Linked DNA regions of Nothobranchius furzeri. The protein of the gene in region 1 interacts with the protein of each later gene in a biochemical or structural test. Links are inferred from orthologs where the notes say so. Each region holds a gene or a part of one and is shown on either strand. Other genes may lie near its edges.

Region 1 (5,198 bases):
AAGAGGGGAAAACAAAATGAACAAAAAGGTGCAACAACAACTGTACCTGAAGGTGACGGAGGAATGGGGTAGAAGTGATGGAGAATCACTGAGGGGAGGTGAATGACAGACAGGGTTTGGGGGAATTACATCTTCATCCATATTCATCTGAAACATACACACACAGGAAAAAAATAGGACAACTGGTTGTGCATACAGTTTTGTCTTAACTTACTAAAATACTACAAGACCAAGACCTGATTCAGATAAAAAAGTAACCAGATTTTCAGAATGTTTGCTGAGAAATTATACTTTAGATTTTTTTAACTGGAAGCAAACTCAAAGGGAGAATTAGTGGCAACTTCAACTAGATTACAGTTAAGATTTTAATCAACAGTATTGAGGACAAAATCATTCATATGGATTTCAACAGAACAATGCGCAGTCAGTGTTAAGGGAGACAGTCATCGTGTTAAAACTTAGCCAAGAAAATAAGCTTTTGTGATTTTAACAACTGCAGTCCTTCCTCCAAAGTGGCACATATTAGACCCCCTCTCTAGGCTGCACCGTGTTAGCGCCAAAGTTGTTCAGCCGAAATCCTACAACCTTCACCAAGCCACGGGAAACACTCAATAATCACCTTATAATGTTACATCTAAATGAAATGCATAGCAGCTATTTGCTGCGAGGTTTTCAGATGCTGTCGGATCAAAACTGAGCGTAGTCTACTTACTGGAGAAATTTTTTTTATTTACCTTTATTGTGAGCCGCCGACAAAAAACAACAACAGACAAAAACCTAACCGTTAAAACTGTCCCAAATGTTGTCGTAGCTGACTTTCATCCGAACTCCGTCAGCTCTCCATGGCTGTATAGCCGACAGGGACACACAGTGTGGCAGTTTCTGTTCCAGTTAATAGTCGTAGCCCACAACTGTCATTTCTCTACACGTTCTTTGGTGCTTACGGGATTTGTGGGAATATTCTCGTTATGTAGCTTGCATGAACACGTTGACAGCAAATAAAAACCATTAGATAAACTCACCTAAAAGCTGTAACTGGACCGTGGGGGTGAAAGCCAAACCCGCCGTAAACAAAACATGACGAAAAGACGGCGCCCTACTGCGAGTAGAAAATGTATCCGTTTTTACAAATCTAACAATCAGCCCAGCCAATCACAGTTCAGGGTTGGTTTCCACTCGAAACGCCTCTTTGAAAGCTGACCAATCATGTTGCGTCTGTCAGGGTCGCTGGTTGAGGCCAGCCAATAGGAGCATCGGAAAAATTCACGAATTCTTGTATATCTAGCGTCATAAGCGAGTTTTTTTAATAACTTGACACACATTCAGGAAACGGTTTAACACATTTAAAACGCAATGTTGATAAAGCGGACACTATTCCTTTCATATCGCCTCTCTGATAACTTAAAAAAGCATAAAGCTCAAGCTTAAAACCATCTAAGGACGAATTTAAATTCACATTACGAAATTAATGTGCATATTTACTGGGGAATGGTTTATTTTGGTTATTAGGCATTTTCCAACTCTGCCTAAATACTGTAATAAAATTATTCCGACAGAAAATAACTTACATTGCCCTGATTTCCCTGTGCTCATGTTTTCTAACTTTAAATGTAAACACGTTATTAAGGGCAACAATAAAATGTAAAACTGCAGTGTATATGAATAATCAGCATTTACAAGCTGTGTCCTTGCTTCAGAAAAAGAAAGAATAGAATTTCAGCAATGATGCACACAAGCCTTTTATTTAAAAACTATCTGCAGAAAACAAAGGCAGGGCTAAAATGAATGGACCAATTCTCCTCCAAACCCTGGTGTATAAACAGAGAAAATCCAAGTAAAACATGAGTGGTGACAAAATTCAAGAGGGCTGTTTTTCATCTGATGGTGTACATAATTCATGTGAAGAGGTCAAAGTCTATTCTTCTGGAGTTGTAGAACTGAGATCCGTCCTGATCCACCCTCCTGCAGTAGACGCCGCTGCTAAAATAGCCTTCATCCACCCAGCCCTGAAAACACAGCAGTAAGAAAATAAAAGCCCACTAGGTCAGACTGGGGTTAATGAGACAACCAGTCAACAATTCAATTATTTAGATTAAATGATGGAATTATTGGTATTTTGAGGAGGGAAATAAATAAAATACATGTTTAAAACATTGCATTTAAATGTATGAGGTGTTATACTTATGTTTTCTTTTAAAATATAAATGTACAAGAAAAAATAAAAAATTAAAATCAGACTACTCACTGCCTAACCCCTAATTTCCACTGAATGCATAAGCGTCGCGTAACGTAATAGAAGCATTTGACCTCCAATCTCAGTCGCTTGTCCCTTCCTACTGGGAGCGTTTCAGAAATGAAACAGCGGCAAAAACATCACCAACAGCTGAACCCACGAGATCACGAAATCACCAGAGAACTGGAAGTTCACGCAGTAACAATGAAGAGGAAAGACGGCAGCATTTGTCTGAAAAAGACCTGTGGTTTGTTTTGTGTTGGGTTTACCTCGGCTACAGAGGCATCACAACTATTTTAAACAAGCAACTGGAAATCGGCACGTGTCTTTTATTATTTTTAAAGTGTCCAGATGTTTCCCAGTGCTCCTGTGTTTGTCCTGATCTGAATGGCTGAGACTGACATGTCATGAAAGCACAGCACGAAAGCACAGTGCTAACAAAAATAAGAATGGAAGCATAAATTTAACGGAGCAACGCGTCACTACGCTTCTGGGATGCCTCAAAAACGTTGGCGCTAAGCAGTCGGTGGAAACGCACCCACTGTGACGGCGGCTATTTGCTGTGTACTACACTTCGCGGACGTTGCAGGGTGCTTTGCAGACGTTATGTGATGCTAATGTGTCAGGTGGAAAAGCCCGGTAAGTGTTCTGAATTCCTCACAGACACACAAGAATCTACATTCGTAATAAAAAGGAAAACCCTCTTAATCCACATCAGTTTGGAAGTTGGGCATTTAACACGTCAGAGCTAAAATAGTAGTAATACCTGCATCTGCTGGCTGGTGAATGGCCCATAGACCTCAGATTTTTCCTCATTTTCCCATTTGTATTCCCACATCACTTCATCACTCACTGAGAAGAAAAAGGGGAATCGAGGTAAGTAACCTTCTTCTGAACTTAATCATTTATAAGCATGAAGGAAAGAACCTTGGTTGTCATCCTCTTCTTTCTCACCAATCTTCTCATCAAACTTATCACCAAACATGTCAAGCTCATCTTCTTCCTCATCGTCACTTTTCGTCTGCCTCACTGCTGGCTTCTTGCTGGTCATGCTTTTCATCACGTAGGCCAGTTTTTCATAGCTCTGCTGATAGATTTCAAACATCCCAGATCCAACCAGCCTGTCAGCTAAAGCTGTGAGCCTATCCAGCTTTTCCGTGTCTCTTGAAGCTTCCTCTGTGGACTGGTTTTCTTCTCTCAGCTTTCCCTTCTTGCGCCCTCCAAGGCCTCCTAACCGACGGAGCGCCGCGGCGACCGTTTCTCCAGGCTGCAGCAGTTCAACAACAGCTTCAACAAGCTGCTGTTGAGTGTAGGCAGCCAACGGGTCCTCTGCAGGCATCTCCTCCTCCTCTTCATCCTCCTGGTTTGCCTGCTGTTCTTCCCTTCGTTTCTCTTCCTCTGCCTCATCTTCATCACCGACTCTGCGTTTCCGTTTGGCTGCAAGACCTTTCTTTTTCTTAATAGGCTGCTCTTTTATTTTCACCTGCAAGAAAACAGATACTTCACTTACTGCAAAATGCAGAGCTTCCATTAAATAATCATTTGTCTGAGAATGCAATTACCCAGTCTATGTTGTCGAGCCAGTTGTCTCTAATTTGTGTTTCCTTTTTGATGAAATAGTTTCCCTCTGAATCAAAGTGGCCTTCCTGCATCTCCTCTTCCAGGTTGAAAGGTGTAATAGAAACTCCTTCGTCAAAGTCAATAGTCGCTCCTTCTTGGCCTGGAAACAAAGGTGGCACCACCCCAATTCACCACAAAAAGCATTTAACAAAAAACATTGCTTCACACAGCCTAAGGAAAACTGGACCCAGTTTACAACTTCAAAAGTATAATGGAAATACTTAACAAGACATACCCTCCACATCATCATTGTCAAGAATATTGTATTTGCTGTTGTTTGTGTCCTCTCCATCATCCTCTTCGTCACTGTCAAGGGAGTGTTTACCCTTAAACCTGGAGCCTGGTCCACTGACAGCCTCACAGCTCTGCAATTACAGCAAAAGAAAATGATGAACTAAATACAAAATAGCAGTATAACCAGTAAACGTAGAGTCAAAAGCAAAGTTCTGATCTTTGCATTAAAAGTAAAAATGCATTGTGTCTGAAGACAAACCCCTAAACCCATGGGTCAGTGCTGCGGCACAAGTACCACTATTACTACTTTTGCTGTAAAAAACAAAGGCATTAATGTGTCACTGGTTAAACAATTTGCTGAAAGTGATAGAAAAATAGAAAACTCAAAGATATGAGTGGTTAAAAAAATAAAGAGTCTTTAGTTCAAAAGGCAAACCACTCAGAATAAATAGGAAATGTACAATATTCTGAGAATTGTGGAAAACTGAAATGGAAGATTGTTAGTTACCATTCTTGTTGCTACTAAACTGTTTCAATAAAGTCTTTATAAGACATGCCAGCAGCAAAAAGTCTAAAATAGTACAGAGATCTGATTCAACTTGTTTAAATGGTGCATTCAGCTGCTGTATGGGATTTGGCACGTTTGAGTCAGAAATATGCTAAAGCATAGTCCTGTAAGACTGAACTGTTATCCGACTCACTTCATGTTTTGATTGTATATTGTTGTAATTGTATATCTCATTTTAATACTGATATTTTACTTTCATTTTAATATTTATTTTCTGTGCAGAGGCCTTGTGCGAGTCTACTTGCTGCAACACTGAATGTAAAATGATGTAGGACAAAATAGGTTAAAATAGGTCATACTTGGAGCCTTCGAGTTGGAGGGTTTAGGATTATCCGGGGGGGTGCTCATCATAAATTTGATTAAAAGTAATCTTACTTAAGAGCTGTGAAAAAAATCATACAAGCAAAATTCTGCTCACTACCGGAAATTTCTGAAGAACGCCTGAACAGCTCCACTCCACTGCATCAAAACAATTCATCACCCATGATCACAAAAGCTTGATTGCAGTTGTTTTAATCAGGAGTCAATCATGTTTTGCTCATA
Region 2 (6,709 bases), on another chromosome or scaffold:
TGGCTAGCAGCTATGGACGTAACTGAACTACGGAAGCTCTGCATGGACAAGACGTCAAACACTCTAAACACAAAAGACTTCAATAAATGGGACACACTTCTTTCCTGCTAATAAATGTTCACAGTTGATGCTAATACCTATGCTCCTTCAAGAGATGTGCTCCTGGCTGCAAAGTATCGCACCTTCAAACACAAAATGTTGTCTTTACTTGGGAGTGTTTATGTAGACAAATAAACTTGTTGATAGGATATGTAGATAAATATGTAGATACATAAACTTGTTTATATGCAGTATAAGTTACATAGGGTTTTTTTTTTTGTTTCCAATAGTTGAAAAATGTGAGAAAATAATCGTGAATTAAATCGCTATTTGATTATTTTCCAAAATCGTTCAGCCTTAGTTTACAATCAAAACTTTGTTGAAGCTGAAATAATGGCTGAAGGAGGAGGGCAGCTCTCAGGACATTTATCAGCCCTCAAGGAAGAGAAAGTCTGAAATACGGTAATATTTTGGGTATTTCAAGAACGCCGAGGTACAATTGATAGAAGACGGCTATCCTGTTTGTAGCACATGCAGATAAACTTGTCTCTGAAAGGCAGCAACACTCTGAATGTCATGAAAAACCTGCGTGACCATCACCCACAACTCTACAGTCAATGCAAGGCAAGTTAACGCTAGCTTTAAAGCTGAAATGCGTGATGTGAGGACTTTGGGTTGAGGGAGAATGCAAAAAGTCATCCTATAGTGCAGCCGCAGCACCCACAGCCAGCATATAAAACGTGTCGCGGACACCTCCATATTGAAATAACGCTATGCATAACGAGGTTCCAGGAGCGGATAAGAGTTGGTCTCTCTCCGCATTATTATTAATTTAACAATCATTACTGCCTGATGACATTTTCCCAAATCTGCAAAGCTCACTGGAAGGACACAAACTGAGGACAACTATTCTGATATAGATGGTTTATTTAGTTGTCATAAAATATAACACGTTTCTGGCACTATAACTGGTACACCTAATACCCTCGAAACGACCAACAACACATCATGAAATAATAAATTGGAGTAGGAGATATAGATTTTTACTTTGTCCCACTGAGGGAAACAGTTTGGGTGCCCCTGATACATAGGCGGGGCTGGATAGAGTAGCCAACTACTGTACTCAAGTAAGAGCAACACCATTTCAACGCCTTTTACTTGAGTAAAAGTAGCTGTCCAAGAAATTACTCAAGGGTAAAAAAAGTATTTAATTAGAAGGCTAGAGTCCTGAGTATCATCCGATCTCGTATTTTTAAAATGATGACCTCAAACAGGCAAACATAAGAAGTTATGGGCAAATGTTGGTATTTTAAAGACTAAAAAGGTAAAAATGTTAATATAATTACAAATGGCTACATTTAGACAAACTGAGAATATTTTCCTGATATACAGGGTTTATCTAGTTGTCTGAAAATCTAACGTTTAAAAGATAATACCACGATCATACCAAAAACCTTGATTATTTTGGTCACAATAACAATGAGGTTACATTTTCACTAGGGCTGTATCGAAGCCTTGATAACGTCGACGGCTCGATTCTAAAAATTTGTCGACGTCAGATCCGGTAGTCGACGCACCACGCCCACTTGTTGCATCCCCAGGAATTTGTAAATAGAGGAGGAATCTGCCTGTTTTTCCTCTAGTTCGCCCTCTTCTCCGCCTTCACTAACATCTCCACCAAATACCGAAGACCCGGAACAATGTCCAGCCCCTACTAGATTCCTTTACTTCCAGGGTCAGATGCGCTGCTCCGTCTCTATCGCAGATGTAGAAAATCACCGGGAGCGTTTCTCCCGTCATAAAGGAGCTTCTTTCAGACATTAGGAGAGCTGTTTTGGTGCTAGCAGTCTCTCCTCCGTGCTGGTCTATTTGGTGGGTGTTTTGGTTTATTTAAACTTGGTAACTTGAACTTAACGTTGGTAAAGCTACTGTTAGCATTTTAGCTAGCAGCTTCTTGGGTTTAGATAACCTGTTACGTTTTGGTTAAGAGTTCATCTTTTTTGTGGTGTAGATCTCCCTTTTATTACATTTAGAGTGTTGTGGGGTTTCGGTTTAGTTTAAAATATCACCTTAAGTTTGGTTTAACCGCCCAGTTTAGAGTTTGGACCTTTGGAGATCCTTATTTTGGTCCAGAACCCTGTAATCTTTGCCCAGTGGGACATCCCTAGTTATTTGTACTTTTGTTTTAATTCCCCACAGGCAGAATTAGTTTTATTATTCCCAACCTGTGGATGGAAAGATGCATGTTTTTTTGTAGTTGTAAATAAACCTGATCATCATTTTAACTTTTAAATCCCGTTAATGTCCCTTCCTTTTTGCACACGAGCCAAACTCCCCAGGAAGGGTCGTAACACCACTCGCCTCACGCACATAAGTGACCAAAACAAAGCGGCATGGAGACACTCCATCTTCTACCACCTCGCAGCCTGCACTCCCAAGTTCTACACGTCACCAGAACATAACCAACCTCAACACAATAAAAGCAGTGTTATACAAAATGGAAGGCCTGTAGTGTTTATTCTCTTACAGTAACAATTTATCAATTTTTTTGAAGAATTTATGAGAGATTAATTGGTTTTTATTAACTGTGCAATAAAAAATAATCATTAGATTAATCGTCTAAATAGTCATTAGAATAGTCGACTATTTGATCAAATAAACGTCAGAATAATCGTTTTAAAAATAATCGTTTACCCCCAGCCCTAATTTTCACATTGTGACAACCCTACCGTCAAGTACCTCATTTACCTTAAACACCTGAATGGAGAAACAGGAAGTGGTTGCATAGGGGGAATCGTTGTATATAGCTGAGTCAGAGACCCCAGAGACAGGTGAGGCTGTTGCAAACGCATGATCGGACTTGATTAAGTGATTATTGAAGAAATGTACCTTTTAGTTTTGGGGTCTGAACTATTCATCAGAAACGGGTTCTTATAATATTCAGATTTTGCTTTTCTGATTGGCTGGTTACAGATCTGAAGGATTGCAAGTCGCAGATATTCATGGATATCTGCCAGGATTGATGCTTGGTTCTGAAACATTTTTAACTCTGCCTTTATATAATCTAAAATGGAGATAATGGAGTTTTTAAATGTGACCAAGCATCCTCAACAGTAGGAACGAGGCTAACTCTATGTCATCGTTCTTTTGCCAAGTCATGTAAAAAGGCCTGCTCATTGAGGTTGTTTTTATAAATGCACTGTACAACTCTTGCGGTCAGTTTTTGCAAAATATTTTAACAAATTGGTTTCGTATTGGGTAGGCTTAAACATCAGTCTAAACCCCTTCGGCCATAAACTACGAGTGAGTGTTTGGCTTTTTTATACTAAGAAACAAGAGTTGTTGTGATCGTCTTGTTTTTCTTTTTCTTATTTATTTTTTCCTGACTGTGTCCTGTTCATTTTATGATAGAATAAATAAATAAAATAAACATTAATCTTTAAAATCGTCTTAAATGATTGAGATCTCAGTGTCAGTCTAAATAATTGTGATCATCATTTTTGCCATAACTGAGCAGCTCTACCTAAATTTGTCGTTTTCCGACCACTTCGCTCAGCATTACTTGCTCCTGGTCCAGCGCACCTGCGTCTCAAACATCTGGTTTGTTTACCGTTCTACATGACCGGTGGGAACAGAATAATAACCCAAATGGTTCCACGTGGTCACTCAAATATATCATACAATATTACAGCGAATCACAATAAAGAAAAACACATTTAAAATTACATTTCCTGAAAAGCATTTACGTCACTGAGAATCCATTTTAATTCCTGTAATGTCTTAATGTTTGAACAATCCGGTTCGTGACCTAATGCTTCTGTGCCTGCAGAAGTCTGCCAAAGCAGGGCAACAGGAGGCAGTTTTACCTCATTCCAGGTGTTTTCTACTGATGTAAAGTTAGTCCAACAGCGTCATAAACAAGATTTATTACGTCACAGCTGACCTTTCTTGGACATCCTACGATTTCAATAAACGCGGACGGGTTGAAGGTTCTGATTTGGTTCCGGTCCACATAAGTCTGCTTTTATGACAACCGTTGAAAGAGCCGCGGTTGCGGAAGTGCGACAACAGAATGTCACTTTTCTAACTTATTTCTCCAGGAAACGTTCAGCCGAGTCACGGTTTCAGTCACAACCCGGTCCAGTCTCACCAAACCCCGCCTGCTTCACGGTTCTGATGACCCAACTCACCCAGGCTGAGATCCAGAGCCGCGTCTGACTTCCTGCTGCTTCTTGACACACCGAAACAAATCGACGCGCGCGACGACGACACGCGTGCCTTCGTTATTGAAAACCTTTCAAAATAAAGGTGCACATCCGGGTCATGTTTGACTCATTTGCTTACCAGCGGCTTTCAAAGTAAACGGGATCCTGTTCTGGTTCTTTCACCTGTAAGACGGATGAATAAAATACATCTATAAAAGTAATTGTTTACATTAAATTAGAACTATAAACCTTTGAAATGTATTCTCCATGAGACAATGCGTGACTGTAAACATCAGTGGCAGCTGGTGAGTTTTTTTTTTTTTTTTTTTTTGGTGGGGCATAACTTAACAGGTGTTCCGAAAAGAGAATGCCAGCCAAGGGGTATTATGGTCTACATTTTTGGAAACCAAGTAGGAGCAAGAGGACCGGGCTGCAAAAAACAATCGTGATATAAGATCTCTGTTTCTAAAGACTCATACTGTACTTCTAACTACTGTACACTGAAACAACTGGTTTTATGACCTGGACTGGGGAAGGATTGGGACTCTACCAACTAGTTTCTACTGACAAAGTAAAAAAGATTTCTTTCAAGATTATTCATCGTTTCTATCCTACAAAATCCTTTTTGAAAAGACGAAAAAAGGAAATGAATGACTGTTTATTTTGTAACCTCCAAGATGAAGATGTTCTACATCTAATCTGGTCTTGTCCATTCTCTGGTCAGTTCTTACAAGAATTTAATATTTTTGTAATAACGTATTTTATTCAAGATTTTTCACTCTCTAAGGAAAAGTTGATATTAGGTTTCTACTACTACCCAGTGAATAAAGCAGACCAATTTTAGATAACCAATTTATTAATATTGCTGGCTAAATTTCAAATTCATAAGACAAAATGTTCTAATGCAAAACCTTGTTTTCAGCAATTTCTCTGTGAAACAAAACAAAATCTATTATCCATTCAACATTCTCACAATGCAAAAGCAATCAAAAGAGTGAATATAGGCTCCTCTATAAATCTCAGCTGACTGGATGTGTTCTAGCTGTTAAATGTATGTTTTTTTTTAATATCACTTGTAATTAGTGTAATGTTCTGACTGCATATTAAGGTTTGTTAAAAATAAATAAATAAAAAGGACCTGGTTGCAGCAAAATGGCGACTTGAGCTCACCTCCAGTCGCCGTCATAGATGTCATATAGATGCCCTAACTGGGAGTCGACAGCGTCCTTACACAGCGGCCATCTGACTTCGGACAGCTAACCGTTCTCTAGCTGGAAGGTGAGTGTGCGGCTCAACTAAAGATACTTATAACTCAATGAAATATTAATGCATTTACAAACGGTTTGCCTTATTACAAACCGTATGATACATACACTTGACACGGGATACTTGCACTTGTTGAAATTACCGCTTTTGTTTCCGAAACACAACATATTTGTGATCAATGTGTCCCGCTAAGCCATTTTGCGCGTTAGGTTGAGTGCGAGAGCATAATCAATTTTTTTATAGGGTTCTATAAAACTAAAGAGTGTATGTAAATCTAATTTATGTCTAAATGGCTGTCTTGGTTTTAGTTTAATTAGCTGTCTGTCATGTTGGGAATATGTTTTACCCAGGACATGAAAGAATCACAGACGGAAATGATGGTAAGTGAATAACAAATAATATTTATTAAGAACGATGTGAAACTGAAAACGCTGCTCCAAATGGGAACAGGAGGGACCGAGATCTAGAATGAGAAAGCAAACTGGTGTTAGAATCATGAAACCCTGGAACCAGAGAACCAGAACTAGAATTGTTTGGAGTGTTATTCTTACTGGAGATGATCAGTTTTGGTGAGGCAGGGCTGGGTCTTTGGGGGCCAGGTGGGGACAGACAAACAGCAGAGAGTGAGGATCCAGGACGGGATGAGGAAACAGGTTGCGAGACAGACAGTGAGGCAGGTTATGATGCAGATCCGGAGGCTGGTGGTTAGGCAGGCTGGGAAGCGGGCAGGACGACAGGCGGGCGGTGGAGAGTGAGGAGACCAGGAGGACAGTGAGCGACGTGAGGTTGGATTAACAACTCCAGATGGCGGTGGGTGATTCCTGTGAACAGACGAGCAGGAACCTTCAGGACTCAGTAGATAAGGGCTGAACTGGAACGGGCAGACAAGATTAAAACTGATTAAAATTCAAATGAGACTGCGACTGGCTAGTGTTTACCCAAGATGCGAGTATCAACTGGCACTGGAGTTGCATCACACCACTCCTTAAGTACCCCTGGCCCTCTGATCAGGGAGATCAGGAACAGCTGGCTCTCCGACACACCCACCTGTTAACACAGAACTGGGACAACTGCAGGGTATTAAATGAAATGAATAGTGAGCAGGGCAGGCTGGTACAGTAACCCCCCCCCCCCCCCCCCCCCCAAGGGATGCCACCTGGCAGCCTAGCAGAGGAGACGGAGGAGGAGGCAGAACAGGA
Region 3 (6,652 bases), on another chromosome or scaffold:
TATATATTTCTACATGCTGCTTTACACCTACACCGCCATAATCACCATTATATGTGAGCAATTGTGCAGCTTTCCATGCAGCATATAATTGCATCATAAATTAAAGTGTTTTTTGTTCAATTTAGAGTGGTTTCTTTTAATTTCTCAAGTCTGAATACATTTCTGCACAAATGAGGTGATTAGTCTTTGTTAAAAAGTTGGACAGTTCATTGGATGGTTGTCTTTCAGCTCTTTTGTACAAAGATGCTTGGTGACGATCCATTTATTTCCTTGTTTGTGCATCAGTCACAGTCTGAATGGACCATAACACATATTAAATGTGCTAATAGAAAATGACACGTTGTATCTATGCATTAGTATTGTATTATCTAGGCCATATTTGTGCCTTTATCATGATGCAAATTAATCTGAAGCAGAAAGTTTCCAGCTCACTGCTGTATTCACCAGAAACACTGCCAACAATTTTATGGCAGCGAATCAACGGAAATTATGACAGTATGATCTCTGGCAACGCCACGGTCCCTCAGCCATCCCTCACAGAAACGTGCTTTCTTCTGCTGCCACACACACATGCATGCACACACACATTTCAATCAGCCAAGATGGCAGTTTGAAAAGTTTCTGTGTGTGCGTTTGTGTGTGAGGTAGTAAGAGGGCTAATTGTGTCTTTGGAAACAAAATTTTTAAAATAAAACCACCATTGTTTATGTGAAACACACATCATTTTGGCTTCTGGAGCACAGCACAGCAGAATACAATTATTTCATTTTATTAAAATTATTCAGGGTGTATGCATCATGCACATGGGGGAAAAATGTGGTGTTAATATTGGCCTGTATCAGGAATGACTTTCCATTTATCATCCTGACATCGACCTTGATCAGCTATCTGTAGGTCAGCTTTGAGATAAACACACACATGATATGTGGCTCTTTCCTTTAGTCATATATAAATGTGCATTTTATTGTGTTCTAATTATTCAATCAAAACAAAATCATCATTTAAAGACTCACAAGGACATAAAACACACTGATGGGAGGAAATGCAGTTTGAATTAAGCTTCATATTTAAATCTGTCCTTGTACATGTGAACCACCTAGCATCTAATCCATCTGACGGTCAATTTTCTTCCCTAACATCCTCTCCCACGGGTAAAATAACACCATCCCTTCAGGCGATGTAAATGAAGAAAGATGTAGAGGCTGGATCCCAGGCTAGGAGTGAAGACGGCTGAAGTTAATGCGATTGAAACTAATTGATGAATGGTTTCACATCATCTCATGAGATAGATCCCAAAAATGTCATGTTAGCATGTAATTACTTATTGCACTCTGGCATCTCTGTTTGAGTGTAGGTTTCTGAACCTGAAATGTCAGATGAGTTATTGATGTAGCATGTTGGCATGTGTCTAATGGGAATTAATGGAAATCATCACAAATGCATGGCTCATTTGACCTAAAACTATGTACATTACAAGCAATATAATATATGTGCAGTCAGACAGGCAAGGAGTGAAAATATTGTATTCAATTTTCAAACAGCATAAAAAATGATGTATTTCTTTCAATTTGGCAACCTAATTATCTGTGGGATCAAATGTCATCTGAGTCATCCTTGTCTTAATTAGGGCTGCAGGTCCATTAGTTGTTTCTGTAAACAATGTCTAGGTAATAATTTTTTACTAAACAAACTAGAGAGGAAATGACAACAGTATGTATGAGTATTTATCTTACTCTACCCTACCTCCACTTCAAACTCTAACCCAGGACTGCCAACGTAGGAGTGAGACAGCTTTTCTTTTTTTTTTTTTTTTTTTTTTTTTTAATGAACCAGATACTGATGAGGCATTCTGCATTAGGCCAGTCAAAAATGACCGTTCTCAGTTTTGCACAACTTGAGGTGGTTCATTTAGGATGGATGAAGATACTATGATTTATCTAGTTTTTCTTTTTATATCTTAAAATTGAGTATAAATAAATATCACGTGTGTGTGTGTGTGTGTGTGTGTGTGTGTGTGTGTGTGTGTGTGTGTGTTTATGTTGTATATAAACATTGTATATATGCATGTATATAAGTATATATTTTTCCCTCATTGTACTATTTTAGACAATTGTGTTTTGGTGTTTAGAGTAGCATATCCTAAAAGATAAATACTATTTACTCAGTTTAACTTTATTCCATCTAATTGTATTTTTATTTTATTTTCTACAGTTTGGCGCACCCGTGTGGCAAACTTTAGCGGTCAATCAATCAGCCCGTCCTGTTGGGGGCGCTGTAACAGAAAACAAGAAAAAGGAAGGAGTCGAGAGCGGAAGTTAAACTGTTGTTCATCTGCTAGTGAGTGTGCACGTCGTTGCAGCAACGATGGCTACCTCTGGAGCAAAACAAACACCTAAACTTGTCTCCAAAACCAGCGCGGGGGGCACAGGGGCGAGTGGCGCGCCCCCTGTAATACCTCTTGCCTCTCCGCTTATGGGGAAAAAGAAGAAGCCGTTTCTGGGGATGCCCGCTCCGCTAGGTTACGTTCCTGGTCTCGGCAGAGGGTAAGCTAATTTGATGCTAAGTCGTTAGCTCCTCCAGTTGCGTGTTTGTTGACAACTTGAATTGTCCACCTTCTGCATGCAGTGTCAAATAAAACAACATTTTAAATACATTATAACAATGGTTTGTGCTGTTTGCAACAAAGGACAAATCTCCGATCTTAAGGGTTATGTTGCGGTTTCAGTGCCACAGGATTCACCACCCGGTCCGACATCGGTCCTGCTCGGGATGCCAACGACCCCGTGGATGATCGGCATGCTCCCCCAGGGAAGAGGACGGTTGGTGACCAGATGAAGAAGAATCAGGATGATGATGACGAAGATCTAAACGACACCAACTATGACGAGGTCTCAATAACTAAATGCTTTTGTTGGCATTTAATACTTCAGTGCATCCAGTCAATAACTCCTGTTTGCTCCTTGTACAGTTTAATGGTTACGCTGGCAGCTTGTTCTCCAGTGGGCCTTATGAAAAGGACGATGAAGAAGCAGATGCTATATATGCGGCACTTGACAAGAGAATGGATGAACGGCGCAAAGAAAGAAGGTAAACTATAAAACTAATCTACCTCTTGACCAAAAAAGACCAAACACCTACAAAATAAGTGCACAGAGCATCCCTTTTTCATCCCTGTGTTGATTTAATGTGTTTCTGATACTGTCTGTGGTTGCTCGTAGGGAGCTGAGAGAAAAGGAAGAAATAGAAAAATATCGTATGGAGCGTCCTAAAATCCAACAGCAGTTCTCAGATCTGAAGGTAAGTTTTCCACATTTATTCTATTGTATTCACGATGCCATTATTTTTAGGTATCTATCTTTAATGCATTTTGTGCAGGTTAACAGCTGACTCTGCATACTGATTTGTTTGCATTCATGTTTTTGTGCTTTTAAACAAATTTGTGATCTTATTTGCCATTTGTGAAATGGTAATGCAAAGGCACATGAAATTACAATTATTAATCTCTCTTAGGATCAGACACGCATCTCTGTTTTATCATTTAATTACAGAGAAAACTAGCAGAGGTGTCGGAGGAGGAGTGGCTGAGCATCCCTGAAGTTGGAGATGCCAGGAACAAGCGACAGAGGAATCCTCGCTTTGAGAAGCTCACCCCGGTCCCTGACAGCTTCTTCTCTAAACACCTGCAGACCGGAGAAAACCACACATCTGTTGATCCGTTACAAGGGGTTAGTAGTCATGAAAACACACTACAAGCAGGTCACCGAACATTTGTTGTAGTTTCACCTTGCCCCAGCAGGAGTCAGAATAACTGTTCAGAGATGTGCAGCCATGCATTATATTGTCAGTAAATATCTGCTTAAGAGCATCAACCTCATGTTTAAACTTGAAACTATTCATTTATCTACTTGATTTCATGCATGCAATGTTTAAATACTTTAACTGGAAACAGCAGTGTTTACTTAGACAGAGCTGGCTCCATGTTTAGTTCTGCAGAATATAAAGCATCTTTTACGTGTGTCAGTTATAGCTGTGAGAAAGGATTCAGCTTTCTTTAGCTGTTCACACACGCTGTAACACAATTCCTGCTTTCTGTCTTGGTAGCTGGGCGGTCTGAACACACCATACCCAGGCAGCATGACTCCTGGAACTGGAGACTTGGATATGAGGAAAATCGGTCAAGCCAGAAACACTCTCATGGATATGAGGCTCAGTCAGGTAGACCTATCTAAATCCTGAGCTTCTTTCACATTTATCAAGATTTTACCTGTTTTTATTGTTTTTCTCTCCACTAAGGTGTCTGATTCAGTCAGTGGACAGACAGTGGTGGATCCTAAGGGTTACCTGACAGATCTCAACTCCATGATCCCCACTTATGGAGGAGACATCAGGTATAGAAAAGTTGCCCATAGGAAAATTTCCTTTTGAAATAACTTCTTATGTGTGTTTGATGAATTACACCTAAATCTCACCCAGCGACATCAAGAAGGCTCGCCTGCTGTTGAAATCTGTGAGAGAGACTAATCCCCATCACCCGCCGGCCTGGATTGCTTCTGCCAGGCTTGAAGAGGTGACGGGCAAGCTGCAGGTCGCCAGGAACTTGATCATGAAGGGCACAGAGATGTGTCCTAAGGTAAAAGGGGTGTCTGCTTTGGTTCCATGCACAAAGGCTAGATGCTGATAACCTTCAATAACAAAATATCTCTCTCTTAACCAGAGTGAGGACGTGTGGCTAGAGGCAGCAAGGCTCCAACCTGGTGATACGGCTAAAGCTGTGGTTGCTCAGGCTGTTCGCCACCTCCCACAGTCTGTCCGCATCTACATCAGGGCTGCTGAGCTCGAAACAGACATCCGTGCTAAGAAGAGGGTCCTCAGAAAGGGTAAGGCTTTTAATTTTGCTTTCTCTGTCTGCAACTATCATCAGAAGCTTCTCACTGCTTTGTGGTTATAAACGGAGGTTCACGTTCCTTCCCAGCAGCTCGTGTGTGAATGAGTTTGATTCTGCTGCGAAAAGGACGACACTCATTTCTCCAGGGCTGAAATTCAAAGCCAGTCTCAATCTGTTGATTGTCTCATGAAATCACCCTCACAAAGCTATCGGAGTTACACTTGGCTGCTGTGTTTCTGGCTCCTTGTCAAGGCCAGGCTCTGTGCTTAACCAGGGTGTCAGTGCCCCGACACACACATGCACACACAGGCTCACGCGTACCAATATTTCCCAGCAGCATACCCGACTGACAGAGATGGATGGAAGTTTCCTCTTGAGGAAGAGCCCTCTCCGCCTCTACTTGTTCAAACGCCTCTGCTCTGCTTTACTTAATTGCACAAAAAACACACCGCTAACTTTATTACACTTTAATGCAAACACACCACCATCACACACACTGCATTTCATTCGTCTTGACTAAGTAATTTTCTTTTGGAAAGAGCATTCTGGGGTTTTGAAATATGTAGAACCAGAAAATATTAGTAAATTCAGAGTCACATTATTAGATGCTGCTGATTTGAGAATCGGTGCACAAATGGTGCCACTGAATAAATAACTTCCCCACTCAGGCTCTATACCATGTTTAATTGCAGATCCCAGCTGTTAATTTGTTATTCCTGAGGCGTTTAGGCTAGTAAAACTGTTAAAGGCTAAAGGATTCTGCTTCTGACTGATGATTCTGGACCCAAGCAATGTGAAGATTGCGTTAGGTTTATTGTAAACTGTGTTTGTACGGCCTGTTAGGATTGTTAGATTGGTAAAATAGTTCCAGTGCTGTTTTTGTTTTTTAAGAGCAAAGTGTTGCAGGTCTCCTACAGCTCAGGAACAATTGTCATGACAGCAGTCGGTGTTTACATTAGGGCTGCAACTAACGACTATTTTAATAGTCGACTAGTCACCGACTATTGAAACCATTAGTCGACTAATCTGATAATTATTACATTTTTCTTAAATTTAGCACGAGATTGCTTTAATTATGTGAAACATGATAATAAACACAAGAAAGACGTGTCCTTCAATGGAAAATGCATATCTTATTAAACTTTGCTGCTGATAGGCCAATTCATACTAAAAGTAAATAAAAATTCCCCGTCTAACACCAAGTAGGCACAGCGCTCAGTCAGTATAGACATAAATGCATAAATAAAATTAAAATACTTTTGTCGGGCATAACATGAAATCTCTCTTTTTAATAAGCGAAAGTACATTTAAAAAAATGTACAACGTGCATCCAAAACAAAACATATTGGCTTTCGTGTTGTTTAAATCTTACCGCGGTGAGTCAGACTCTGTTTCATTCAACTGTCCGACGTGCTTTCTCTTTAAGTATTCGTGCATCAGCGAGGTGCTGCCGTGATACGCGAGGGCTGCTTTGCAAATAATGCAGGTAATCTTTTTATTCGCCGAATCCAGGCTAGACTGCTCCCAAACTTTAGATGTTTTGGTATGCGTAGCTGCTGTGTTGGACGCCGCCACTTCTGTTAGTTGGCGCTCAGCAGAGAAGCTATTGCGCATGTGCGACGCTCTGCAGAGATTGTAATGAAGCGAGATGCCTCACTCGGTCGGGAAAAACATGCCTGGCGAAAACGTCAACTATGAAGTTCATTGTCGACTATCTCTACTGTCGATATTTGTCGACAACGTCGACGAATCGTTGCAGCCCTAGTT

The links. The genes of interacting proteins can lie anywhere in the genome.
Region 2: the proteins of cd2bp2 (region 1) and lrrk1 form a complex in vitro, tested with the Homo sapiens proteins (2 studies listed by BioGRID and IntAct, with this or other methods). The link is inferred for Nothobranchius furzeri from reciprocal best matches to the Homo sapiens genes CD2BP2 and LRRK1.
Region 3: the proteins of cd2bp2 (region 1) and prpf6 form a complex in vitro, tested with the Homo sapiens proteins (2 studies listed by BioGRID and IntAct). The link is inferred for Nothobranchius furzeri from reciprocal best matches to the Homo sapiens genes CD2BP2 and PRPF6.

The regions. Positions count from the first base shown.
Region 1 is NC_091745.1:8,816,341-8,821,538, forward strand, and holds the end of cd2bp2 (CD2 antigen cytoplasmic tail-binding protein 2), read right to left. Parts: intron 4,219-5,198; coding exon 4,089-4,218; intron 3,954-4,088; coding exon 3,796-3,953; intron 3,717-3,795; coding exon 3,161-3,716; intron 3,086-3,160; coding exon 3,000-3,085; intron 2,007-2,999; coding exon 1,896-2,006; 3' UTR 1,724-1,895; downstream 1-1,723. Other genes in the region: prr14 (serine-rich adhesin for platelets), read right to left, coding at 47-147. UniProt on the Homo sapiens protein: Involved in pre-mRNA splicing as component of the U5 snRNP complex that is involved in spliceosome assembly.
Region 2 is NC_091749.1:7,095,750-7,102,458, reverse strand, and holds the start of lrrk1 (leucine-rich repeat serine/threonine-protein kinase 1), read right to left. Parts: upstream 4,344-6,709; 5' UTR 4,230-4,343; intron 1-4,229.
Region 3 is NC_091755.1:59,888,706-59,895,357, forward strand, and holds the start of prpf6 (pre-mRNA-processing factor 6), read left to right. Parts: upstream 1-2,309; 5' UTR 2,310-2,364; coding exon 2,365-2,543; intron 2,544-2,725; coding exon 2,726-2,888; intron 2,889-2,968; coding exon 2,969-3,087; intron 3,088-3,218; coding exon 3,219-3,297; intron 3,298-3,548; coding exon 3,549-3,725; intron 3,726-4,101; coding exon 4,102-4,215; intron 4,216-4,293; coding exon 4,294-4,388; intron 4,389-4,473; coding exon 4,474-4,630; intron 4,631-4,714; coding exon 4,715-4,877; intron 4,878-6,652. UniProt on the Homo sapiens protein: Involved in pre-mRNA splicing as component of the U4/U6-U5 tri-snRNP complex, one of the building blocks of the spliceosome.